Oryctolagus cuniculus: one gene and its partners. The protein of the gene in region 2 purifies or fractionates together with the protein of the main gene of each other region. This does not show direct contact. Links are inferred from orthologs where the notes say so. Each region holds a gene or a part of one and is shown on either strand. Other genes may lie near its edges.

Region 1 (3,500 bases), on a different chromosome or scaffold from region 2:
AAGAAATAAAGTTAAATGTATCACTGCTTTCTCTAAAGCCAAGAGGTACTTTGGCTGTTCTGTCATTTACCTGGATTGAATCCCTTTTCCATTTCCACGTCTGTTTCATAATCCATTTCCCGTATAAGAACGCCAATGGCCTGGATTGGATTCCGAATTTCTTGCAGTTTACTACAAATATCCTCTAGCACATTTTCTCTACAGAGGCAATCAGGAAACTTCTGTTACTACCAAGAATACTACCAAGAATACCCAATGTCCTGTAAACTAAATGCTCTGTGACACAGGAAAGCCAGCAACGTGATAAAGCAGGAGACACAACTGTTCAGGTATACGAGATACCACACAGCAAAATTTCTTTCAACTTTTCAGAACTGGCAAACAAGATGATTGTGAGGAAACTACTTTTTCTTTTTAGAATCAATAATTAATAGCTGTATCACAGCTTAGGAATCTGCATGTGTTAGAATTTCTGTTTGGGGCTGGTGTTGTGGCATACTGGATAAAGCCACAGCCCATGACATCTAGCTCGTGTCCCGGCTACATCCCACATGGGCACCAGTACAAGTCCCAGCTGCTCCACTGCTGATCCAGCTTCCTGCTAATGGCCTGGGAAAGCAGGAGAAGATGGTCCAAGGCCCCTGTCATCCACATGGGAGACCCAGATGAAGTTCCTGGCTCCTGGCTTTGGCCTGGCCATTATAGCCATCTGGGGAGTGAACCAGAAGATGGAAGATTCTCTCTGTAACTTTGACTTTCAAACAAACAAACAAATCTTAAAAAAAAAAAAAAAAAAAAAAAAAAACCCTTAAACAAATTTCTGGGGGCTGGCGTCGTGGCATAGTGGGTAAAGCCACCACCTGTAGTGCTTGTGTCCCATATGGGTGCTGGTTCGAGTCCTGGCTGCTCCTCTTCCAATCCAGCTCTATACATGGCCTGGGAACACAGTAGAAGATGGCCCAAGTTCTTGGGCCCCTGCACCCACGTGGGAGACCAAGAAGCTCCTGGCTCCTGGCTTCAGATGGGCCCAGCTCCAGTTGTTGAAGCCACCTGAGGAATGAACCAACAGATGGAGACCTCTCTCTCTCTCTGCCTCTCTGTAACTCTGCCTTTTAAATAAATCAATAATTCTTAAAAAAAAGACAAAGATTTATTTAAAAAAATTGTCCAAAAGCTGAAATATCTATTGAGAATCATGACAATTCATTTTATCTTCAAGCCATTAATTTGAACACTCTTTTGCATACAAAAATTCGATTTGGCACTAAAAATTGCTGAATTTCCATTAGGAAATGCACTTTACCCTAAGTTCTCCTTACACATCAACAGTGATCAAATCTTCCAGAATCTGTTCCGCAGCCTTCTCTGGAGACTGTAGGTTGTAGCAACTCATTTCCATCATAACTGACATGTCCATATTTACGGACTCTCCAATCAGCCGAAGACATTTTATAAGACATATGACATCTCGAGCAACATCCACATCTAGGAAGAGAAAAGTTAACATTCTAGTCTCAAATCAGTGATCTAATTAATATTATATTGTTAATTATTAAATGCCCAGACATCTATCTGATGTCTTTGAGATATGGAGGCCTCTATATCTTCCCTTGAAGTATCTACAATGTGGTAAAATGGCCAGTGGTAATCAATGTCCTTTGCATGTACTTGTAAAAGGTGAAAGATTTATACGATCTGAAGAGAAACCAGAGTATATTTTGCATGTACTTGTAATAAAGCACAGGTTCATGTAGGAAAGGGAATAAACATACAAATAACAATCATTACCATCAGATATGGTTGTCTCATCCTCTGTCAACAGGTTCTCATCAGGCAGTAGATACAAATGGTCCACTAGGGAAGAGGGCATAAGAAAAGACAGGTACCCCTGGAAATTGAAATATTCTGGTTACATTTTTTCAGTGAATTTTTAAAGGTATAAAATAATTGTGATGTGAGTTTTATCATGAGGCAACACCAGAGAAACTCCAGTTGATGGACACTGTAAAAAATACATGTGTAGTCATCAGAAAAATGTCAGTCATGAAAGACAAAGAAAGGCTGAAGATAGTTCAAGATTAAGTTAAATAAACAAGACAACTAGATATATCTAGGTCCTCGGATTGGATCTTGGATCACAAAGAAAATTATGGGCACAACTGGAAAAATTATTAACTGTGTAATAATGTATCAATATCAAATTGTTGATCTTTAAATTCTACTGTGGTTATTTAGGATAAACATCCATGCTTTTAGAGACTTGCTGAAGTTTTTAAGGACAAAAGGGCATGATGTCTGGGACCAGCACTGTGGCACAGTGGATTAAGCCATAGCCTATAGCACCAGCACAAGTTCATGTCCTGCTGCTCCATGTCTGATCAGCTTCCTGCTAATGCTTCTGGGAAAGTAGCAGAAGATGGCCCAAGTCCTTGGGCTGCTGTATCCATGCTGAAGACCTGCATTAAGCTTCTGGCTCCTGGCTTCAGCCTGGCCTAGCCCCAGTTGTTGCAGCCATTTGGGGAGTGAACAAGCAGATGAAAGCTCTCTGTCTCTCCTTCTCTCTCTGTATCCTTTCAAATAAATAAATATATCTTAAAAAAAAAAAAAAAGTGCATGATGCTACAAGCTGGGAAGAAAACTCTCAAATGGCCCAGAAAAAAAAACATATTTATACAAAGAAGAATCACAAATGGAAATTAAAAGATGGATCTGGATGAAGGCTTTCTAGGCCGGCACCGCGGCTCACTAGGCTAATCCTCCGCCCTGCGGCGCCGGCACACTGGGTTCTAGTCCCGGTCAGGGCGCCGGATTCTGTCCCAGTTGCCCCTCTTCCAGGCCAGCTCTCTGCTGTGGCCAGGGAGTGCAGTGGAGGATGGCCCAAGTGCTTAGGCCCTGCACTCCATGGGAGACCAGGAGAAGTACCTGGCTCCTGCCATCGGATCAGCGCGGTGCACTGGCCGTAGCGCGCCGGCCGCAGCAGCCATTGGAGGGTGAACCAACGGCAAAAGGAAGACCTTTCTCTCTGTCTCTCTCTCTCACTGTCCAACTCTGCCTGTCAAAAAAAAAAAAAAAATTTTTATGCTATTTTTAATTTTTATCATTTATTCAACAAATAAAATATAATGTTTTATTCTACTTTAATTTTAATTTTTTATTATCTATTAAATAAATAAATTTAAAAATCAAATGTAAAACAAAATAGATCAGGGTGGGCATTTGGTCATAAGTCAAGACACCACTAGTAAAGCCAGTGTTGTGGCACAGTGGGTTAAGATGCCACTTGAGGAATCTCAGTAGCTCTGCTTCTGATCCAATTTCCTGCTAACGAGCCTGGGAAGGCAACAGAAGACGAGCCAAATACTTGGGCCCAGGCCACCCATGTGGGAGACCAGGATGTATTTATTTCCTGGTTCCTAGCTTTGGCCTGGTTTGGACCTGGCTGTTGTGAATATTTGGGTGAATGAACCAGTAGATAGAAGATCAATACATCTTTCACTCTG
Region 2 (4,145 bases):
AGACTTCAATTGCAAGTTGTCTTTCAACCACTGGATTAGGGCGGAAGCACAAAAATTTTCAGTAAGCTAAAGAAAAACTTTTAGAAGATAACCATGATGGGGCCATCGCGGTTGGTTAATCCTCCGCGGCGTTGGCATCCCATATGGGCACCGGTTCTAGTCCCGGCTGCTCCTCTTCCGATCTAACTCTCTACTGTGGCCTGGGAAAGCAGAGATGGCTCAAGTCCTTGGGCCCCTGCACCCACATGGGAGACCAGAAAGAAGCTCCTGGCTCCTGGCTTCGGAATGCCGCAGCTCCGGTTATTGCGACCAACGGAAGGAAGACCTTTCTCTGTCTCTCCCTCTCACCATCTGTAACTCTACCTCTCAAATAGATAAATAAAATCTTAAAAAAAAAAAAAAGGAGGTAACCATGACAATATAAACTCAGTTTTTAGGGGAAAGTGAACACACAACTAATTTGTTTTAGTTTGAGCTAATATAATTTGGCATATGAGGGGACCAACTGTGGAACTCAAAAGAGTTATCATTCTGGTATCCACTTTACCAGATAAAATATAACTAAAGTTAAAAAAAAACAACAACTGTGAATAGAAACATCAAGTAGGAAGAGGGTATACTATATATAAATTTAAAATTAAAATATTTTAAGAAGATGCACACATAGACATATGAATATGACACTGAAAAGTCAGTCATGAGCCTAAACCCAAGGTCTGAATTGTGTTATTTACACCGCACACAGAACTGCTTGCCCTTCAAGCCTAAGAGCTTAGGGTCTTGTTAAGCACCTGGGATTTCCTTTTTCTTTGGTCTTATTCTATCTCTCGACTCCCATTTTCTTTCATCTCTTGTGAAACACACTAGTGAAACAATCTACCAGCAAACGCATTCCCAGCATCATACAAGGTCTCTGAGTAGATGAGAAAGCCTGAGGATCCTCCGGTACCAGCTTACTGCAGTGGAACCCTGCTTCCCTAGGAGGGCGGTGAGGGGTTCTCTCCACCCTCCCCGAGGGACCCTAGTCGTCCCTAAGAGGCGGTCAGGAACGCAGAGCCTCCTTCCACAAACACACAGCCCTCTTCCTAACCAGCCGCCCTTCTGGTGGTCTCTCAGCCTCTGCTCTGTCCTGACTCCCCAACCATGAACACCTGCCTTCCTGTGCCCTACTGCTCACCCAGGCCCACAGATAAACAGTAACCACCACGACTGAGTTCTGGAGGTTGGTAACAGGGAGACGCTACAAATGAGCTGCAGATGGTTTTTGTTTTCACTAATGGGCAACGCAACCCAGTACCTAATTGACACAAGGTGAACAAGTGCTGTTCGGGAGAAGGCAAAGCAAGATGGCAGCATACTAGACGTGAGGATGAAAAGGAGAGATTGAAATGTTATCAGACTCCTAACTTCATTTATCATTATTTTTCACTTAAAAAAAAAAGTTCACTAACGGTGAGCACAGGCTTGGAGTGACCTGCTTTAATCCTCAGAGCTTTAGTTTTCTGCTCTGTATAAGAGCCAACAGCATCTGTACCATCAGTTCACAGGGTCACCGGGAGGCGTAAATACGCCGATACATGCAAACAGCACAGTGCCTGGCACCCAGGAAGACTGAAATAAAGTTAGTTTCAAAGAACCTGCAGGATGTAGCAGCCTTGCCTTCCGCTGGAAACATACATCTCTGTTTTGGGTTTCATTGTAAACGGATACCTGCAAGTTTTCTCAATTCACTCAACATTTCTACTTAGAGACTGAAGAGGCCACCTTGCAATACTTAAATACTTGCCTACTAAAAAATCAAAGCAACCAGAAGCAGAAGTTTTAGCTAAAATACAAGTTTCCTTAAAGAGATTCGGGAATCATTTTATCAATAAAATTAGTCTTGAAGCTTTAAAAAATAATCCGCATTCAGCTGCCCTCATCCTCAGCTACCCGCAGAATCAAGTCACCGTTTGTTCTTTTTACTGACACTTCAGTACTCTGCTTTCATTGCAAGCCTGTAACCCGGCACAGCTTCTTCGGTATCGAAACCTGGCTGGGAGGCAGCCACACACTGTGTCCAGGGCCAGAAAGGATCCCTGTGGTCACGCTAGGACAACTGTCACTGTCACCAGCACGTCCGGGCGCCTCTCAAGGACTCGGATCGTGCAGGAGCGTGGGGGCAGGCTGGTGTCTGAAACAAAGTCGACAGCGAGGGCGCGCTGAAACGGGAGAGGTTTGGCCGAGAGCCGCGGACGAGGGTCTGACCGGCAGGGAGGCAGTCTCCCGGGGCGGATCGATTCCGGGGGCGCGCCGCCGCCCGTAGGAGGGGGACGCAGGTGTCGCCCTCCCCGGGCGCGCCGCCGCCCCCCCTCCCCCAGCCCCCCAGGTACCTTTCTCGTCCTCGTCGATGCGCAGGGCAACGGAGATGTACTCGAAGGCCTGTTTGTGGAAGGCGCGGACGCGCTCGGCCTCGCCGCCCGGCACCGGCTCCGGGGGCGAGGCCGAGGCGGGCGCCGGCGCGGCCCGGGAGCTCCTCTTGGCGGCCATGAGGGCGCGGGAGAGGCGCTGGCAGAGCCACACGAAGAGGAGCCCCAGGTGGAAAGCGACCAAGCGCAGCAGCGCGAAGCCGACGAAGAGCGGGTAGGAGAAATAGTACAGGTTCCGCTTATGCGGCGACTCGGGCGGAGCGGCCGGCCCGGCGGCGGGAGGGGCGGGGGCCAGGCAGGGGGGCGGAGGCCTGGGAGGCGCCGGGCTGCTGGCGCCGCCGGAGCCTTTCTTCTTCCCTCGTCCACCCGGAGAATTCATTCACAGCTCCCACTGCCGCCGCCGCCGCCATAACCCGCCTTCCGCAGACCGACGGCGACCCAGCGACGGCGGCGACTGCTTCGACGGCGAGGGCCACAGACCCCCCGCACGCCGGCGGGTCCCAGGAGCTCGGCACCTGCACGCGCCGCCCGCGGCCCCGCCCCTCGCTCGGCCAAGAGCACAACCCTTTCTCCTCCTCCTCCTCCTCCTTCGGTCGGTGGCTCCAACCCCCCCTTCTCTCCGTCCTCTCAGCGCCAAGGAAGCTCCGAGCGCCGGCCGCGCACGCACACGCGCACGCCCTTCCGTGCCTTTCTCCGCCGCGCGCGCACGCGCGCACGCCGCCGTCTTTGTTGACCTGGTCTCTTGTGCGCGTGTGCGGCGCCTGCCACTCGGCCCTTTCCTCGTGGAACTACACTTCCCAAGGTGCACTTCGACTCCCATGTAGCTCCGCGGACGGCGCTTGCCCTGGGAGCTCCTACCAGCAAGCTGGGGAATTACTCCTTGAATAGGGAGACGGCGGCTTGGGGCTGCTAGTAAGTTTGCAGCGCTTCTATCTCTCGGTGTCATGGTTTCATCATTTTCTGCCAGTTGACTTCAGTCTATTACAAAGGTTGATTGGTCTGAATTCAGGAGCAGTGAGTATACGGACTGGAGTTAGGGGAGCAGGCAGTGAAGAGACAAACATCAAGTCATCCCAAGTGAAAAATGTTACCTCTCTACGGTGAGGTCAACGAATCTAGGATTTTCACTAAATTAGCACGAATTTAGATGTCTCGTCTGAAGAAATAACTTACTCGAATACGGAATTTTTAGATTTCTGCGTAGCACCCTGTAGTTTGCTGAGGAAGCCGTGCTGTGGTTTTCCTGGCATTTTTGTTTTAAGTCTACTTGGCTTCCCTTCCTTTCGGCAACTACCCACTCATCTCTGCTCCCAGGGTTCTCCTGAGTTGCAAACACAGAACTCAGGATCAGTCGGTCAATGAGACTCCCCTGGGAACTGGGATCTTGGCTGGAGAAGGGCTGAGAGCGAAGGTGGCTGCCACCGAGTGCTCCACGGAGCTCCCTGGCTAGAGCATCCCACTGTGGTCCCAGAGCAGAGTTCCTGCACTGGCCGGATGACGTAACCTATCTAATACACTTCGGTCTATTTCTCTTCCCCCGTTTCCCCCGCTTTCTCTTTCTCCCCTCCCTATCCCCCTGTCTCTGTTTTTTTTCTCTTCTGACTTGAGTTAACCATAATTGTTCCTCGTTGCCTAAAACAGAAGCATCCTAAGTGATACAAAGTCCCCATTATTTATAGTGTGAGGTCTACGGAATCTCAGCATCCTGCCACAACTTTAATGATTACGCAGCAAGAC
Region 3 (3,500 bases), on a different chromosome or scaffold from region 2:
GGTTTTTTAAGGGTATTAGTATCAGGTGATCTGGATTCTAATCCCAGTTTTGTGAATTTATTACTGTGTGACAGTCATTTAACGTCTGTGAGCACTGACTTCTGTAAAACATAACTTTTTCTACTTTGAAGGTTGTTTTTGAGGCTTTGTAAAGTGTTCCACAAAATTTTAAAGTTTCTGTAAACCCTGTCTCTACTTCACCTTGCCCATGCCAAAAGGCATGAGTTTAGCTTTTGGCTTGTGCTTATGTTTGATTTTAAAATTATTTATTAAGACCTCAGCAGTTGCTATATGCCAGGTTCTGGTGAGACACATTGTAATGAAATCAGTAACACAAATATTACAGTATTTCTGGACACTATCTTAAGAAGTAATTTTTTTTGGTTGTTGTAAACTGTATCTTTTAGTAGCCTTTCAGTTTCAGAGAGCACATTCATTGTGTGTCTGTGTATATACATATTGCCTTTTTAGATCATGAAAGCATCACTGCTTGCTGATGAAGAAGATATAGACATGATGCTGGATCAGCGCTTCAGTCATGTTCCTTCCAAAGCAGATGCTTCTCAAGAAATCTGTTCTCCCAGACTCCCCATTTCAGCATCCCACCCATCAAAATCTCGTTCACTAGGTATTGTATAAATACGCTGTTTTACAAGAAAGCTGTAGAGTCATCAAGTTCCACGTTTCATATATCTCCTGTGCTGAGTAGATTTCCAGAATGTATCTCCCTAACAGCCATACCTCTGACATAAGAATGTTAAGAGAGCTCACACTCTTATATTAGGAGTGTCCAGTTTTTTAAGAACTATAATTACTTCTGTTGGTGAAGATGCAGAAATTGTATGGAGAGTATAGTATTTGTGCTTTGCTTAGGGTCATGCTTTTGTTTGCTTATGAGTATGAATTAAATAAGTTCCAATTTCCAAATTTTTATCACAAGTTACTTTGAGGATTTAACAAGTTGTCCTACATTGGACTCTCTGTGTAGTCCTAATGCTATCTCAGTGCCTTATGAGGAAATCTTTGCCTTTTGATAATTCATAGAATTCATCAAGATTCAAGATTCCAATTTTCCCTAAGCTTTTTGCCTAGTGGACTAGTAACTTGGTGGAATTGGAGGTAGGGTATTACTATAAACAGAACACTTGAACAGTTAAGTGAATATTAAGTTGTGGTCATTGGAGCAGCAGTTAAGATGTCATTTGGGATACTTGCATACTATAATGAAATTTCTGGATTGGAATCCATTCAAGTTCCCTGGGAGGCAGCAGGTGATGGCTTATATAGTTGTATCTCTGCTACCTGGGATTGAATTCCTGGCTCCCAAAACTCAAACCGGCACCCATATGGGATGTTGGCAGTGGGGGCAGCGGCTTTACCTGCCATGCCACAGCTCTGGCCCCATGCTGCTCCACTTTTTTTTTTTTTACCCCTCCAGTAGAGGGCGCACTCTTGCGAGCGGCTTTTGTAGCCAGTTGCTTCCTGGGTGCTTTACCACCAGTCAATTTGCGGCAGTCTGCCCTGTATGAGCCATGGTATAAAGACCTCCCTACTTACCACACTTCTCCTTCAGCTGGAGCTCGGCGAGCGAGAGGCCGCGCTGGCGTTAGAGAGCAACGGCGGCACGGCTACTGCTCCACTTTCAATCCATCTTCTTGCTAATGCAGCTGGGAAGGCAGTGGATGATGGCCCAATTGCTTGGGCTGCTGCCACCCTTCTGGGAGACTGGGATGAAGTTTCTGACTCCTGAGTTTGACCTAGCACAAACCTGGCTGTTGTGGCCATCTGGGGAATGAATAAGCAGGTTAAAGACATTTCTCTCTCTTTCTTGGGGTCTCTCTAAGTCTTTGTCACTCTGCTTTTCAGACAATTCAGTTAATAAATCCTTTTAAAAAATTGTGGATTAGGCAATTCTTTTTTTTTTTTTTATTTTTTTATTTTTTTTTTTTTTTATTTTTGACAGGCAGAGTGGACAGTGAGAGAGAGAGAGACAGAGAGAAAGGTCTTCCTTTGCCGTTGGTTCACCCTCCAATGGCTGCCACGGCCGGCGCGCTGCGGCCGGCGCACCGCGCTGATCCGATGGCAGGAACCAGGAGCCAGGTGCTTTTCCTGGTCTCCCATGTGGGTGCAGGGCCCAAGCACCTGGGCCATCCTCCACTGCACTCCCTGGCCACAGCAGAGGGCTGGCTTGGAAGAGGGGCAACCGGGACAGAATCCGGCGCCCCGACCGGGACTAGAACCCGGTGTGCCGGCGCCGCTAGGCGGAGGATTAGCCTAGTGAGCCGCGGCGCCGGCCCGGATTAGGCAATTCTAATAAGAACTTTTCCTCAGAAAAGTACATGTGCAATCATAAGAATTTTCAATATTTTTTTCTTTAACTCGTAACAGAAGGTAGGAATTTGAGTTTTGATCTTTGATCTTACTAAGCTCTTATAAGGACTAAGAAAGTTATTTTGAATTTTTTAAAAAGATTTATTTACTTATTTATTTGAAAGAGAGATAGAAAGCTTCCATCTGCTCTTTGAGACCCCCAAATGTCTGCAACAATGGAACTGAGCCAGGCCAAACCCAGGAGTCTGGAATTTCGTGCAGGTCTCCCACATGGGTGTATCTCCCAAGTACTTAAACCATCTTCTGTTGCTTTCCCAGATGCATTAAAAGGGAACTGCATTAGAAGTGGAGCAGGTGGGACTCAAACCAGCACCCATGGGATCCTGGTATTAGAGGCAGCAACATAACCTGCTGTGCCACAGTCCTGTCTCCTTTTATCAGACATGGTGTTCCATTTGACTTTTTGATACATTTATAGATTGTGTAATGTCCACTCAGGGGAAATACATCTCTGTTCAAACATTTAACAGTTCTTTAAAAAACATCCAAAATCCTATCATGGATTTGTTGTGTGTGTATGTGTGTGTGTGTGTTTTTAGTAACATAAATATATAAGAATTAACCATGTGTAATCTTCACACATTTGGAATTTTTATTTAAAGTTTTTATTATTTATAATTATATAATTAATATATATTATATAATATAATTAATTATATGAAAAGCAGAATGACAGAGGGAAAGGGAGAAACGAGAGAGAGAGAGATCTTCAGTCCATTGGTTCTCTCCCCAAATGACATCAAGGGCCGAGGCTGAGTCAGACCAAAGCCATGAGCCAGGAACCCCATCCAGGTCTCCCATGTGGATGGCAGGGGCTGCAAGTACTTGGGCCATCTGCTGCTGCTTTCCAAGATGTATTGGCAGGGAGCTGGACTAGAAGGAGTGTACCTGGGACTTGAACCAATGCTCCAATAAAGCATTGGTATCATAGGCAGTGACTTAACACACTGCTCTGCAATGCCTGCCCCCCACATTTGGGATTTTGGTATGGGCTTAGTACTGGTAACAGACCTCCCTGTACTTTCCCTGCCAGTCCTGGTATTTGGTAGATTTTTTGAGTTTGTACAAGCTACCACTTACTTGAAACCAGTTTTCTTACTTACAAAAAT
Region 4 (3,500 bases), on a different chromosome or scaffold from region 2:
ACAGCAGTGGGCACCTGTCACCCACGTGGGATACCCATATGAAATTCCAGGCTCCTGACTTCCATATAACCCAGCCCTGGCCATTGCAGCCATTTGGGTGGAAAAATCTCTCTCTCTGTCTCTCTCACTCTGCCTTTCAAATAAATATAAGATTCTTTTTTAAAAAATTTGGTCTGGCTGCACTCTCCGCTATTTTTGCCACTAAATTCCTAGACATCCCCTTTCAGTACACAATAGATATTAGCAGGTTAATGCTGTTTAGCAAACTAAAAGTACTAGAGTTTGATGACAGGGTGAAATCAGCTCACCTGACTAACACAAATGTTTTCGTACTCTTCCACAAGGTCAAAAACTGTAGTTGAAGAGTGCTTCAAAAAAGACTGCAGGAAATCAGAAAACATACTCATGGATGCTAAAATACATTAAAAAGAAAAGGAAAAAAGAAAAGTTATAGGACATACTTTTAGGTAATTTTGATTGAAAAATTAAAAACATAGTTTTTAAAAAGAATTTACCACTGTAAAGAAAGAAAATTTACCATTGTAACTATTTTTAAGTGTACACAGTTCAGTGACACTAAGCACATCCACAATGTTGTGCTACTATCACCAACTTCACTCCACAACACTCATTCTTACCTTGCAAAACTACAACTCTACCCATTCAGCAATAACTGCCAATTCCTCACTATCCCCAGTCCCTCGCAACCACCATTCCACTTTCTGTCTCTATCAAAGTATCTCATATAAGGGAGATCTATATGATCTAGTCTGTCCTATTTTGACTTGCTTATTTCATTTAGCAATGTCTCAAGGTTTATCCATGTTAGCAGGTGTCAGAATGTCCTTCCTTTTTGGCTAAATACTACTACTACATTTTATGTAAATAGCACACAATGGATGGACACTCAGCTGCTTCCACTTTTTGGCTACTATGAACATGAATATTTAAATATCTCTTTGAAATCTTGCTTTCACATCCTTTGGGTATATATGCATAGGCAGAACTATTGGATCATAAGGTAATTCCTCGTTCAGTTTCTTGAGTAACTGCTTTACTATTTTCCAAAGTGGCTGCACCATTTTACATTCCCACTAATAGTATACAAGGGTTTCAATTTCTCCACATCATTTTCAAATTTGTCATTTTCTCCATTTTTTATAGACCTCCTAATGGTGTAAGGTGGCATCTCATATTAGTTTTGATCTACATTTCTCTAAAGATAAGTGATTTCACCTTTTCACGTGCTTACTAGCTATTTGAAAATCTTTAGAGAAACATCTATTCAAAATTTTTGCCCATTTTATGAGTTACAGCAGTTACAGGAGTTGTTTTTTTTTTATTTTTTGGATTTAAGCCCCCTTTCAGCTAATTTGCAAATATTTCCCACTATTCCACAGGCTGCCTTTTCACTCTGTTGATTAGATTCTTTGAGGCATAGAAATTTAAGATTTTGGCATAGTCCAACTTATCTATTTTTTCATTTGTAACCTATTAGTTTTGTAAGATCCCAAAGATACAGTAGTCATTAATGTTTCCTATTTTGTCAACAATTTTAAAAATTGGGCCACATTTTAAAGCATCTGAATTACATTTTAAGCACAGCATAACAAAATGGCTAAGAATTACAGTAGCTACTCAATGCTCTGTTCAGGTAAGGGAAAATGCATTTGCTCTACTAATATTTGAGTTCTCATCCTAAAATTGAATTCTTGTATTTTACAGAATAAGTAGGAAGTATTTTTGGGGAACCCAAGATTCAAGTATGTATTACTGCAGACACTGCAAGAAAGTGGTGGTTACCATGGTGTTAAGGGCAAGGCTCTGGAATCAAACTGTTTAGTTTCAAATCCTGGTGCCACTACTTCCTAGCTGGGCGATTTTCTGCAAGCCAGTTAGCCAATCTGAGCAGTGGTTTCCTTTCCTCTAAAATGAGAACAATCATTCTAACTATGTAATGGATCTTGGTAAGGATTCCAGGAGTTCATATTCGGAGAGTGATAACCACACAATTAACATCCATAAGGTAGCTGATGATGATGATAAACTCAAGAACATGGTATGTAGGTACACAGACACTAAAAGCAAATGGTCTTGTACAAAAGGAAACGTTAGTAACAAACCTAAAACTAGCAAAGTTACAATACTTTCTGAAAAAGCAGCACTGCTGTCCAGGTTAAAGCTCAACACATCAGCAGTGTTAGATTACAGCTAAGCCTAAGTTCTTTTGGTGGCACAAATAAGAATACAAATAGGAGACCTGCAATGATCCAAAGGCTGCTGTTTATGCTAACAGATACAATGGCAAGACGCTGCTGACAACCCAGGAGGGCTTCTCAGGTTCTCACACTTCCAGAGACAGCCAAGAGCAAAAGCAATTCACACAATGACAAATATACAGACAGAGGGAAGACCCAGCAAAGACTTTCCTGATAGGAATTGTCCTCCCATGGAAGGAAAGAGGAAGAGGCCTTAGAAAAAACCAACCCTGCAGATATCTGTACATTGGATTTCTAGCCTCCAGAATTCCAAGAAAATAAATTTCTGGTTTTTTAAAGCCATCCCTCCCTTTAAAGGAAAAAATAAAACCATGACATTCAGGAACAGGAGAAGAAAACATCGTGACATTAGTCAGGAGAAGAACCGCTTTATCGCAAGGCTCCAAGCCACTTTACCAGCCTCGCCAGGATCATCCTCACGTAGCATGACCGCGCTGAGATTCACGTCCTCTGTGACACTGTGGGCGTCTACACCTGTGTACAGCCCTAAGCGCTGGGATGAGAACGCAGCCGCCCAGTTACTGTCATCCAGATTGGTTATCTTGGAAGGAAAAAGATGCAGAAAAGTGATGGAGCTATTGTCACTGAGTGAACAAATGCTTTAAAAATGAATAAGGTTCAACCACATTTTAAAAACATTACTTCTGTGTATTTTACTTTTAAAAGATAGCCAACAGGGGTTATTATGTTAAGGAATTTATGGATTTTTAATGTTTTCTTCTTTGTATTACTCCATGCTTTTAAAAAAGTTAGTAAGGATTACATTTTGTAAAATTAAGCTAATATTAGCAGATAAAATTAAGCCCTACTTCGTAAGTACTATAAAGGATGGGAGAACCAGTTTTCTTCAGCAGTTAAAAACAGATGAGGGCAGGTATCGTTGGTGCAGCTTGAGATGCCAGCATCTCACATCAGAGTCATAGCCACTCCACGCTTTTGATCCAGTTCCCTGGGAACACGCCTGGGAGGCTGCAGATAATGGCCCAAGGCCTTGGGTTCCTGCCACCCATGTGGGAGACCTGGATGGAGTTCCCGACTCCTGACTTCAGGCTGGCAATCCTGGCTATTCTGGGCATTTGGGAACTTATCCAGTGGATGGACAATCTCTCTGTCTCTCCCACTGTCTTTGTCACTCTGCTTTTCAAATAAATAAATAAATATGTATATATATATATATATATATATATTTTTTTTTTTTTTTTTTTTCCAAAAAGATGGAGG
Region 5 (4,223 bases), on a different chromosome or scaffold from region 2:
GCGTAGCAGGTAAAGCCACCACCTACAATGCCGGCATCTCATATGGGCAATGGTTCAAGTCCTGGCTGCTTCACTTCCCATTTAGCTCCCTGCTAATGGCCTGGGAAAGCAGTAGAGGATGGCCCAAGTGCTTGAGCCCCTGCACCCAAGCAGGAGACCTGGAAGAAACTCCTGACTTCTGGCTTTGGTCTGGCCCACCCCTGGCTGATGCAGCCACTGAGAAATGAACCAGTGGAAGGAAGACCTTTCTGTTTCTGTCTTTCCCCTCCTTTCTCTGTAATTCTCTTTCAAAAACAAACAAACAAACAAACAAACAACTCACAAAAACATGGTTCTAGAATTACATTCGCAAAAAGTAATGATATTTTCCCCCCCTTCATATCGTAAGGCTTTAAAACTATTAAATACGGTTTTCCTTACACCTTTCTAAAAATAACTAAAATACAAATTCACTTTTCAAACCAAAGTTCTTTACCTGGTTATTTGGATGGTGAAGGAAAATTGTTACACATCCTGTTGATGAAGCAGCTACAATTCTTTCCTGGTCAAAAAACTAAACAGAAAAATTCCTGCTTATTATAGATTCAGAAAAACTAGTAGGGAGGAAACCCGTTGTTTAACTGAATTTATAGCAAATTACGTAACTGTAAAAGGTAAAAAGCCTGTAAGTGCTACCCAAATAACATTTGTTAGATCTAAAAGTTAACATTGCTATACAAATAAAGGTATTTTCATGAGGAATAAATGGTTGGCCAAGTTAAATTCTCTAAGCCTTGGAATGTGGTGGGCATTTGGCTTGCTATGATGTTGGGTTGAGATGCCCAAGTTCAGAATGCCTGTGTTCAACACCCAGTTCTGGCTCCTTATTTCAGCTTCCTGTTAACGCAGGTCCTGCAAAGCAATGGTAATGACTCAAGTAATTGGGTCCATGCTACCCACATGGGAGACCTGGACTGAGTTCCTGGCTCTTGGCTCCTGATTGACGCAGGCTTTGGTGAATGAGCCAGTTGATGGGAGCTCTAACAAATACATTAAAAAAGAAATTTCCCTGAGGCCACTGCTGTGGTACAATAGGCTAAGCTTCCGCCTGCAGGGCCAACATCTCACACGCACCCTGGTTTCCATCCTGGCTGCTCCTCTTCTGACCCGGCCCTCTGCTATGGTCTGAGAAAGCAGTAGAGGATGGCCCAAGTCCTTGGACCCCTGCACCCGCATGGGAGACTGGGAAGAAGCTCCTGGCTTCAGATCAGCCCAGTTATGGCCATTGCAGCCATTTGGGGAGTGAACCAGCAGATCGAGAACTTTCTCTCTGTCTCTAACTCTACCTCTCAAATAAGTAAATTTTTAAAAATCTGTATTTTTAAACAGGGAGTACTAATCCTACTCAGGGTGGGTTATGAGAAATCAAAAAATTTAAAAGACCTACCCTGCACAGTATTTGTCACAAATGAGGATAATTCAAGAAGTTTATGGAAAATGAAATTAAAAGATAATGCATTCTAGTGCAAAATTTTTAAAAGCCCATGCATAGTTTATCTATAATATGCATTTTCCATGAACTTTGAGATCCTTAGCAGTGTGTGCTCGAAAGATAATATTCTTAGCATTCTCACGGGCAAAATAGAAATAACAATACTGACTCACAGACATGTAATTAGAATTAAACGGTCTTATGTAAAACTCCAAAAATATCACTTGCAGGCCGGCACCGCAGCTCAATAGGCTAATCCTCCGCCTGCGGCGCCGGCACACCGGGTTCTAGTCCCGGCTGGGGCGCCGGATTCTGTCCCGGTTGCTCCTCTTGCAGTCCAGCTCTCTGCTGTGGCCCGGAAAGGCAGTGGAGGATGGCCCAAGTGCTTGGGCCCTGCACCCGCATGGGAGACCAGGAGGAGGCACCTGGCTCCTGGCTTCGGATCGGTGCAGCGCCGTCCGAGGTGGCCATTTGAGGGGTGAACCAACGGAAGGAAGACCTGTCTCTCTCACTAACTTTGCCTGTCAAAAAAAAAATAATAATAATAAAATAAAAAAATCGCTTGCAGCTGGGAGGTTGTGCCACTAAGTGATCAGTCTACGTTGGGTAAATCCTAACCTATGGAGAACTCGCTTTCCTGTAAACTAGGGGTGAGGCCAGGAGAGCTCTCAGGTCTCTGCACTCTAAATGCACTGCTCTGGCTTTCTTTAGAAGCGAGCCTCTGGGCACTGGACGCGTTTACCTGTAAGTCCATGACGTCACCATGGTGTTTGATATCGCACAACAGTCGATGGTCTCCTTCCAGGCTTCCATCAGAGTCCGGGTTTCCGAAATCTCCGATAGACCACAGTGAAACGTGATTCTCCTGTAAAGCAAACGGCTTCATCTTGAGATGACAGAACCGTCAACTCTGGAAAGTAAACCCAATGCGTATCGCCTTAAGGCAACCTGGGCTCCAAAGCATCTCACACGGCATGGGCAGAATGTGAAACAAGAAGACGGGGGCTCGGGCACACCCACGCTGGCTGCAGCCGAGCCCCCGGACCCGGGGCCGGGGAGGATGGAAAGTCGCGCGCTCCAGGGCACCTGGGCGTGGGAGAGGACGGAGCCCCGGGGTCCCGCCCCGGAGCCAGGGTACCTCATTGTCCCAAGAGCCCGTGGCAAAGGTCTCGGCGGTCTGCAGGCTCCCCGGAGGCACCGGCCGCCAGCGGGTTTTGCTGATTTTCTCAGACACAAACTTGGCATACAGCTCCTCCATGCTGAAAGCAACAGCAGCAGGCACAGCCAGCCGCGCGCCGCGCGCCTCCGGGTTCCGCCCCTTCCCGCGGAGCTCTGATTGGATGGGAGCTCGCCGGGCGACGGCGGCCGCGAAGGGCCAATTCCCAGCGGAAGGCGGTGCAGGCACTGCCGGGCCCGGACCAGGAGGGGTCTGAGGCGCCCATGATCAGCGAGGTGGCTTTGAGCAAAACCAAGAGTGCCCCGGCCTATGTGCAGTGGGATCTGCACCCGACATGCAAATGCAGAGGAGGAACATGGAGACAACGTGCTTGTGCAATAACTTAAGAACAAAATCACTGCGTGGGAAACCACCTTGCAGGCACATCAGCTGCTTGTCACTATGCATAGCAAACAACTCAAAATCCTTCAATCTTCATGGCACTATTTCCAATAAAGTACGAATTTATTATCCTAAACCTTTGACTCCAGTTTTAGTTCTGCTGCCAGTTACCTAAGGTTACCTAACTGTAACCTTGGTCAACTCACTTACATACGTAATTTTTTAAGAAAAGATTTATTTCAAAGGCAGAGTTGCAGAGAGAGGGAGAGACACACACACAGAGGGAGCTCTTCCATCCGCTGGCTCACTCCCCAAATGGTGGCTTAGGCCAGGGCTGGGTCAGGTCAAAGCTGGGAACAGCCAGGACGCAAATCGGCGGCTAAAACCACTGTGCCACAACACCGGCTCCACTTCCATTACATAATTAAGAACGGATTTTGTGATACCTAACGTCCACAGCCTGGGGCATGAGTGCTGCGGGTTCCTTTAGTGCCTTTGGTTATGGCTAAAATACCTTTCCACTCCTCCTCTCAGAATCCTGTCCACCCTTCACCCTTTCCCTGACGGCCTCAGCGGAGGATGAGGAGGAGAATAAAACAGAACGTTTCGTATCTGCATCACTAAGAGCACGCATTTTGCCCCGTTTCTGGTTTCCTTTTCCAAAGCTCCTTAGCGTGGAAATCCTACTGATTCCAAGAGGTATGATTTATTCCACCTTGGCAACTCTCTTACACCGCTGTATTCATAACTATATGTTGTCTCTTTAAAGGGGGCCGTGCCGGGCTGCCGGTTTACGAGGTCGGGGGTCCCACTTCACCGGGACAGTTTGTGCAAGGAGTGGACGAAACGTAACCGCCGCGGCCGGCTTCGGTGAGAGTTACCAGGGTCTGCTCTGCAGCCGAAGATCGCCAGCCGTCTGCGGAGAGACGGAACGGGCGCCCGGGAAGCGGATGAGCCCCAAGTCGACAATTTCATTCCTATCATATATCCACGGAAAGAACAATTGCGTGTGGGCTCGTTTACGACCACAGAACCCCGACAAGAGGACATGCGTATTTTTGAACAGTGTCACATTCGACAGAACCTGGTAAGCGCGAGAACTTGAAAACTGCTGCTGATCTAAGAGCTTAGACGCGGTGACACAGCTTTGTTTCTTTCCTAAACGTTTACCGAATGACCTAAACGACGGCTGCA
Region 6 (3,500 bases), on a different chromosome or scaffold from region 2:
TGGCCAGCGGGCGGCTCCGCAGAGCTGAGAGCACCTCACTGCCTTTCACAGTCCAGCCTGGACCTGTTTCTGGGAGGGGAGAGCAGCCCGGAACCTCTGGACAACATCCTGATGGCCGCCTTTGAGTTTGACATCCACCAGGTGATCAAGGAGTGCAGGTGAGCCCCGCCCGGCGCCACTTCAGCTGCTGCTGCTGCTGCTGTTTGAAAAAAAAAGTTGATTGATTTACTCGGAAAGCAGTTAGAGCGCTTCCGTCTCTGGTTTCCTCCTCCCCAGTGGTTGTAAGGGCTGGGCTGGGCCAGGCCGAAGCCAGGAGCTTCCCGGTTCCCCACACGGGTGCAGAGGTCCAAGCACTTGCGCCATCCTCAGTGCTTTCTGAGACCGTAGCAGGAGCTGGATCAGAAGGGGAGCAGCCGGGACTCAAACTGGCACCCATAGGGGATGCCCGTGCTGCAGGCAGTGGCCGGCCCCAACTGGGTGCTTTATAAAGAACAGAAATGCATTTTCTCACAGTCCGGTAGCCAGGAAGTCCAAGATTCGTGTTTGTGTCCAGGTTGGGTGTTTGTGAGGGCTTCCAAGATAACGCCTTGCGTTCCATGTCCTGACGTAGAAGGGGAAGGGGCGAGGGGCCGAGCTTCCTCCCGCGAGCCCCTTTGTCAGGGAGCCTCACGCCCTTCAAGGGCGCCCTCATCACCCGACCCCGCTCAGGGCTCCACCTCTGAGCACCATCATGTGGGCCCGCCTGACCTGGAGGGAACCATTCAAACCGTAGCACCTGCTGCCCGCCTCAGCGGATGCAAGGGGACAGCACCTGCCCTCTGGAGGAGCGTGGGGGCTTTGCTGAGGCACGAAGGCCATTGTGTTTATAACCATCTCCTCAGGAACCCTTATTAAAACTAACACCGCATGAAATGTTTTGATGTTTAAAATCCAGAAAAGGCCAGCGAGCCTATTCCTTGGTACCCAGTGGACAGCCGCCTTTGGGTCGTACCGCAGTGTCACTGGTGAGTGCAGGGCGGCCAGGCTGCTGGTCTTGTGCTGGAATCTGCAGGGTTTCCAGCCCGCTCCCTGTCCCGTCATTGCACTGACACTTGAGTGTGTCGGAAAGGGAATGTCAGACACGCAACAGAGGTAGGACCTTCCTGGACTGTCCACACATACGAAGGCAAAAACACGTGCCGTGGGGCCAGCGCTGTGGCGCGGTTCCTGTCTCAGAGCAGGCTGGGAGGCAGCACCTGCTCAGGAAGAGGCAGACTCCGAGCCCGGCAGCCAGCGTCTCGGACGCCTGGGCCGAGGGCTGCGAGCGCAACTCTTCCCCGGGGGTGATGCCCGATGCGATGTCCCGTGGGGTTCGGGGGCCTCTGCTCCTCACGGGCGCTTTGCCGGCCCAGGACAGCGCGGGGCTTTCCCCTTCCCCAGGTCCTGTGCCCGGAGGCTTGCTCTGCCCACATCTGTTGTGTCTGAAACCCCAGATAGGCCTAGAGGAGCTGGTGGAACTTGCTCACTGCTGCAGCGGACGAGAGGTCTGGGAGGTTTTACTTAGAATTAGGGCGGGGATGCCCATAAAGTGGAATGTCAACGTGTGTCTTTGTTATTCTCGTTTGCTGCACACACATGCTCCCATTCCTGCCATCAGCCATGTGGGCCTATGAAAATATTGACAGAAAACTGCTCTGGCTTTCCCCAAGTTTACCACTATTTTCCTGAAGCCCTGGTTTCCTTTTTGCCAAAACAAGAGCTGGTGGCTGCAGGGAAGCGCTTACCACTGCCCAGCACTGCTTACAGTCTGGCGGAGCTCGGGAGCTCGACGCCTCGCCAGGTCATCGGCCACGCGCAGCTTTCTCTGCCGGCGCCTTTCTGCGCGGTGCCCGTCTCCAGGCGGCGTGAGCAGGAGGGCAGCTTTGGAGAGGGTTACGTGTTTGCTGAAATTCTCTGTGATTCGCTCCCAAGATGGCCACGACGACCTGGGCCGGGCAGGCCGAAGCCAGGAGCTTTAACCGTTCTCCCCCGTGGTGGAGGGCCATCCTCTGCTTTCCCAGACTTTGGCTTGGAGCCGGATGGGAAGCGGAGCAGCCAGGACAGGAGCTGGTGCCCACGTGCTGCGGCGGGCGTCACGGGTGGCCACTGACCGCTGTCCCGCAGCACCGGCGCTAAAGCTTCCTCGTTCTGACACTGAAGCTGCTCTCAGAATCGCAGGGCGTGTACGTGCAGATCCCGAATCTAACTGCTGGATCCAGAGTTGCTGGAGTCTGCACAGAGACCCTGGCACCACTCAGCCGTGCCCAGCCTCGATCACTTGAGCCCCCACCCTTAGTGCTTGGTGGGAGTCTTCCTTCTGCTGGGTCCCTCCCCAAATGGCCGCAACGGCCTAGACTGGGTCAGGCCAAAGCGAGGAACCAAAAACTCGGGTCACCCATGCGGGGGACAGGGCCCAGGCACCTGAGCCGCCAGGGCTGCCTGTCAGAACGTGTTGGTGGAAGCTGGCTGGGAAGCAGCAAGCCGGCACTAGCACTAGCACTCCAGTGTGGGGTGCGCGTCGCAGGTGGCGGCGTGGCCTGCCCCTCACACTTCAGAGGGGACTGTGTGTGCTGTGACGCGGTGCCACCATCAAGCTGACAGCATAGTGAGCACCTCAGTTGCCTCTTGTATGCGTGTATGCCTCTTGTATGTATGTATGAGAACATTCCGGGTGGGTTTCGCGTGTACGGTGCGTTACGAGCTGTGGGCCTTGGCCAGCATCTCCTCCCTGCCACCCGCCAGCCCCCGGCAGCCCCCGGCCCACTCAGTGTGTGTGTAGAGTCTGCGCCTAAATGTGATCGCAGCGATCTTCAGTGTCTGGCTCATTTCACTTAGTGTAACGTCCTTCTGGTCCATGCAGGCTGTCACACGTGGCTAAGTGTCCACTGTGTACCCACACACGTACACCTCATCCCTGCCAGCACAGCCGTGTCCACTGTGAAGGATTTTTCCCCTTTACACACATGCCAAGGAGGACTGCGGGGGGACATGTGGTAGTCTGGGGGTAGCTGGGCCTGTGCGGGTCTGACTGTTTGCCGTGAGGCCTCACCAGCGTGCACTGCCCGCAGCACACAGGCTCCCGGCTCCACACCCTCAGCAGCACCTGCTCTCGTGACTGCGGTAGTGGCCGTGCTGACAGGTGGGGGGGATAGCCCACCTGTGTTCCGAGGCAGGGACGTGGGGTTCCTGCCCACGCCTCGCTCCTGTGGGACGTGGCCTCTCCTGACTTTGCCTCCTGCCTGGTCTCAATCTGCAGCATCGCCCTGAGCAACTGGTGGTTCGTGGCCCACCTGACAGACCTGCTGGACCACTGCCGACTGCTGCAGTCACACAACCTCTAGTGAGTGGCTTCAGGCCCTCGGGGTGGGCGGGCGGAGTGACCAGAAGGGAAGCCGGGCTGAGGAGGGGCCCTGCACGGAGCAGGCCCAGAGTCTTGTCTGTCACGGTCCGTTGCAGTTTCGGTTCTAACATGAGGGAGTTCC
Region 7 (3,500 bases), on a different chromosome or scaffold from region 2:
TGCTCCATTTCTGATCCAGTTCCCTGCTATGGCCTGGGAAAGCAGTGGATAATGGTCCAAGTCCTTGGGTGGGTCCCTGCACCCATGTGGGAGACCTTTTCTCCTGAGCTCCTGGCTCTGGATCAGTCTAGCTCTAGCTGTTGTGGCTATCTGGGGAGTGAACCAGCTGATGGAAAACCTCTCTCCCTCTGCCTCTAACTCTGACTTTGAAATAAATATTAAAAAATTAAAAAAAATTTTTTTTAAAAAAGAAATGCAACCAAATATCCAACTTCATATATACTTCACCACATACAGAGTTTTTTTTGCCTATCATTTGAAGGTTGCAGACTTTGTAACATTTCATTTTTAAATACTTAATTTTTAAATAAATATATGTATTTCCTAAGAACAAGAACATCCAATCACAATAAATTACCAGGCCTATAAAATTTCATCAGTACAGTAATCCCACCTATTAAGCATGCTCAAATTTTCCCAGTTATCCCCCTAATATTCATCGTAGTTACCCTGGTTATTTGGGGGATGATCTAGGACCCAATTAAGAATCTTGCACTGCATTTGGTTATCCTGGCTCTTATAACCTCTTTAATCTAAGTTGGTCTTTCATGTTGCTACAGTTTTGAACAGCCCAGGCTGACTGTACTGTCAAATGTCCCAGGTCGAACATTTTAGCAACAGGTGATGATATATACTGTCATATCTTGAGGAAGTATGAGATGTGAATCTGTCTTTGGGGCTGGTGTTACGGGGCAGTAGGTTAAGCCATTGCACTCTGTCAAATAAATCTTAAAACTCTCCCTCCCTCTGCTTTCCTCCCTTTCTCTATTTGAAACGCAGAAAAGAAAGAGATCTTTCATCTACTGGTTCACTCCCCAAATGCCAGCAACAGCTAGGGCTGGGTCAGGGAGAAGCCAGGAGCCTGGAATTCAGGCTGGGTCTCCCTCATGAGTGGAAGGAACCCAAACCATTCTTTTTGTTGTTCAAATTATCCCTGAAGTTGGCTAGTGATGGCTGGCTGTTCAAGGATCTTGTATTCTTGTGACATCTCTACATTAACCTTGCTTTCTCACCCAAAACCTGTAAGGGCATCTTTTCAATATGGCCTCCTTCTTTACTGGGCAATAGTAGTTTGAAACTAAAATATGGAATTAGGAATACCCATGCTACTGCGGTGTCACTGCTTTCAGGCCCTTTCAGTGGAGAGAAATACACTTTTTTATAAAAATTCCAGGGGCAGGCATGTGGCACAATGGTTAAGTTGCTGCTTGGGATGCCCATATCCCACATCTAAGGGCTGCTTTGAGTCCTAGCTCCTCTGCCTTAAATCTAACTTCCTACTAATGTGCACCCTGGGAGGTAGCAGATGACTGCCAACTACTTGGGAGACTTGAATTGAATTCCAGGCTTTTAGTTTCAGCCTAGCCTAGTCTTGGCTGTGGCAGGCATCTGGGGGGAGGGAATCAGCAACACAAGCTCTCTTCAATCTCTCTGACCCTCTATTTCTGCTTTTCAAATAAAATGAAAATTTTAAAAAATAAAAAAAAAATCATTCTATCCATTATGTTCAATACAAATGCAATTATACAGGGTTCTTCCTCACCTTCCTTCTACACTAGTATTTGTATCTCCCTCCTCCTTGGTTCTCAAACATAATACTATATGTAATCATCTTTTCTATCTACAGGGTATACAGAGTATTTCAGAATTACTGCATCATACTACTACCTACAACAAACCCACTATACAAAGGTCAGTGTATCTTTGCAGTTCTTTTTGCTCATATAATATATACTACCAAAAGTACATAATCAGAGTGTTTAGTCAAGCCATTTGAATTTAGGAATTCTTACTGAAAAAAGTTTTCCTCTTAAGTAGAGATGGATGAGTCTTGTTCCTAATGGATTCTACTAAACGATGATAGGAAGACATCTTAAGAGTTCATTGAAGTATGAATGATAACAATTAGTCAAAGTCTTTTTGCTCAAATTCTTTTACCTTCAATTTTTTCTTGCAGTATATCCTCTGAAAAATCTGAAGCTAGTGCGGCCAATTTACTCAAGCCAAGCAGAGTTTTTTTCTTTGCAAAATAACGAGTTTCCATATTTGCCAAACCTAGAAGTGTTGCATGAGCCTACAATAAACAAAACATGAAAACCATGGTAAGATCTTGGGTATCAATTCAACCTAGAAATAAAGGCTGAGTGTACTCCAAACTAGTTTTTTCCCTTTAGCTTTACCAATGAAAAACAAGTTGTTAATTAGCAAACCTATGAGGTGATCAGTGACATATTCAGAGTAATTACACAATACTTACAAAACATCTACCAGACACACTAATTATTGGGGACAGTGACATAACTAAAACATCTGTTTTATAACCATTATAATTCATTTGAATATCATGTTGAGAACAAGCTTTCAAGTTAATTTGTGTGTTTTTATTAGAAGCACATACTCATTACAATAAAAGGCCAATGACCACTATATACATGTTTGCAAATTTTTTGTGATTTTATTGTAATAGACAAAGTATTGTAGGCTATATATTTTTATTGAGTTATAACAGGTAATGTTAACATCATCGTAAATCAAGCAGAATCTTTTATTTAAATTATATGAGAGAATAGGAAAGAATATATACATATGTGTACATTTTAAAGGATTTACTTATTTATTTGAAAGGCAGAGTTATAGACAGAGAGATCTTCCACCCACTGGTTCACTCCCAAAACGACCAAGACTGGGCTAGGCTGAAGCCATTAGCCAGGAGATTCTTCTGGGTCTCCCACGTGGGTGAAGGGGCCCAAGCAGTTGGGCTATTACTGCTGCTTTTCCCAGGTGCCTTAGCAGTGGGCTGGATTGGAAGTGGAGCAGCTGGGACTTGAAATGGCACCCATATGAGATCCCCACATTGCAGGCCATGGCACAACCCACTGCACCACTGTGCCGGCCCCAAGGATGCACATTTTAAAATATCTGTAAGTAGTACCTCCAACTTTTAAAAACTTATAAATTAATTATAATTGTATACATTTGTGAGTAAAAGCGATGTGATGATATGTGCATACAATGTGGAATGATTAAACCAAGCTAATTAATGTATCCATCACTTCAAATGCTTATCATTTTCTGTGGTGAGAATATCTGAAATTTTCTCTTAGCAATTTTGAAATACACAACATATTATTATCAACTATAGACATCACACTATACAACATATCTCAAAGAAACTGGTTTCTCCTAATTGAATCTTTGTACCCCTTGACCCAATTCTCCATTTCTCCTATCCTCCGGCCTCTGATGATCACCATTTCACTCTCAGCTTTGGTATGCTCAGCTATTTTAGATTCCACGTATAAGTGAGATTATACAGTATTTATCTTTCTGTGCCTGCTTATTTCACTTAATACTATCCTCCAAGCTTATCCATGTTCCTGAAAATGATACTTTTATTTTTAAAGGCTGAATATTACTTCATTACATACATTAACCCCGCA

What was found.
Region 1: the proteins of SPAST (region 2) and NUP160 purify together in Homo sapiens (affinity purification with mass spectrometry; 3 studies listed by BioGRID and IntAct, with this or other methods). This does not show direct contact. The link is inferred for Oryctolagus cuniculus from reciprocal best matches to the Homo sapiens genes SPAST and NUP160.
Region 3: the proteins of SPAST (region 2) and NUP98 purify together in Homo sapiens (affinity purification with mass spectrometry; 3 studies listed by BioGRID and IntAct, counting the BioPlex papers as one, with this or other methods). This does not show direct contact. The link is inferred for Oryctolagus cuniculus from reciprocal best matches to the Homo sapiens genes SPAST and NUP98.
Region 4: the proteins of SPAST (region 2) and NUP107 purify together in Homo sapiens (affinity purification with mass spectrometry; 3 studies listed by BioGRID and IntAct, counting the BioPlex papers as one, with this or other methods). This does not show direct contact. The link is inferred for Oryctolagus cuniculus from reciprocal best matches to the Homo sapiens genes SPAST and NUP107.
Region 5: the proteins of SPAST (region 2) and NUP43 purify together in Homo sapiens (affinity purification with mass spectrometry; 3 studies listed by BioGRID and IntAct, counting the BioPlex papers as one, with this or other methods). This does not show direct contact. The link is inferred for Oryctolagus cuniculus from reciprocal best matches to the Homo sapiens genes SPAST and NUP43.
Region 6: the proteins of SPAST (region 2) and NUP85 purify together in Homo sapiens (affinity purification with mass spectrometry; 3 studies listed by BioGRID and IntAct, counting the BioPlex papers as one, with this or other methods). This does not show direct contact. The link is inferred for Oryctolagus cuniculus from reciprocal best matches to the Homo sapiens genes SPAST and NUP85.
Region 7: the proteins of SPAST (region 2) and NUP133 purify together in Homo sapiens (affinity purification with mass spectrometry; 3 studies listed by BioGRID and IntAct, counting the BioPlex papers as one, with this or other methods). This does not show direct contact. The link is inferred for Oryctolagus cuniculus from reciprocal best matches to the Homo sapiens genes SPAST and NUP133.

The regions. Positions count from the first base shown.
Region 1 is NC_091432.1:18,194,928-18,198,427, reverse strand, and holds part of NUP160 (nuclear pore complex protein Nup160), read right to left. Parts: intron 1,889-3,500; coding exon 1,789-1,888; intron 1,486-1,788; coding exon 1,320-1,485; intron 199-1,319; coding exon 71-198; intron 1-70. UniProt on the Homo sapiens protein: Functions as a component of the nuclear pore complex (NPC). Involved in poly(A)+ RNA transport.
Region 2 is NC_091433.1:170,783,380-170,787,524, forward strand, and holds the start of SPAST (spastin), read right to left. Parts: upstream 2,801-4,145; 5' UTR 2,788-2,800; coding exon 2,373-2,787; intron 1-2,372. UniProt on the Homo sapiens protein: ATP-dependent microtubule severing protein that specifically recognizes and cuts microtubules that are polyglutamylated.
Region 3 is NC_091432.1:63,190,066-63,193,565, forward strand, and holds part of NUP98 (nuclear pore complex protein Nup98-Nup96), read left to right. Parts: intron 1-471; coding exon 472-628; intron 629-3,500. UniProt on the Homo sapiens protein: Plays a role in the nuclear pore complex (NPC) assembly and/or maintenance. NUP98 and NUP96 are involved in the bidirectional transport across the NPC. May anchor NUP153 and TPR to the NPC.
Region 4 is NC_091442.1:71,074,031-71,077,530, reverse strand, and holds part of NUP107 (nuclear pore complex protein Nup107), read right to left. Parts: intron 2,821-3,500; coding exon 2,676-2,820; intron 413-2,675; coding exon 309-412; intron 1-308. UniProt on the Homo sapiens protein: Plays a role in the nuclear pore complex (NPC) assembly and/or maintenance. Required for the assembly of peripheral proteins into the NPC. May anchor NUP62 to the NPC. Involved in nephrogenesis.
Region 5 is NC_091436.1:18,268,087-18,272,309, reverse strand, and holds the start of NUP43 (nucleoporin Nup43), read right to left. Parts: upstream 2,801-4,223; 5' UTR 2,730-2,800; coding exon 2,610-2,729; intron 2,337-2,609; coding exon 2,214-2,336; intron 554-2,213; coding exon 476-553; intron 1-475. UniProt on the Homo sapiens protein: Component of the Nup107-160 subcomplex of the nuclear pore complex (NPC). The Nup107-160 subcomplex is required for the assembly of a functional NPC.
Region 6 is NC_091448.1:5,303,175-5,306,674, reverse strand, and holds part of NUP85 (nuclear pore complex protein Nup85), read left to right. Parts: intron 1-51; coding exon 52-158; intron 159-3,274; coding exon 3,275-3,358; intron 3,359-3,474; coding exon 3,475-3,500. UniProt on the Homo sapiens protein: Essential component of the nuclear pore complex (NPC) that seems to be required for NPC assembly and maintenance. As part of the NPC Nup107-160 subcomplex plays a role in RNA export and in tethering NUP96/Nup98 and NUP153 to the nucleus.
Region 7 is NC_091444.1:90,206,253-90,209,752, forward strand, and holds part of NUP133 (nuclear pore complex protein Nup133), read right to left. Parts: intron 2,135-3,500; coding exon 1,999-2,134; intron 1-1,998. UniProt on the Homo sapiens protein: Involved in poly(A)+ RNA transport. Involved in nephrogenesis.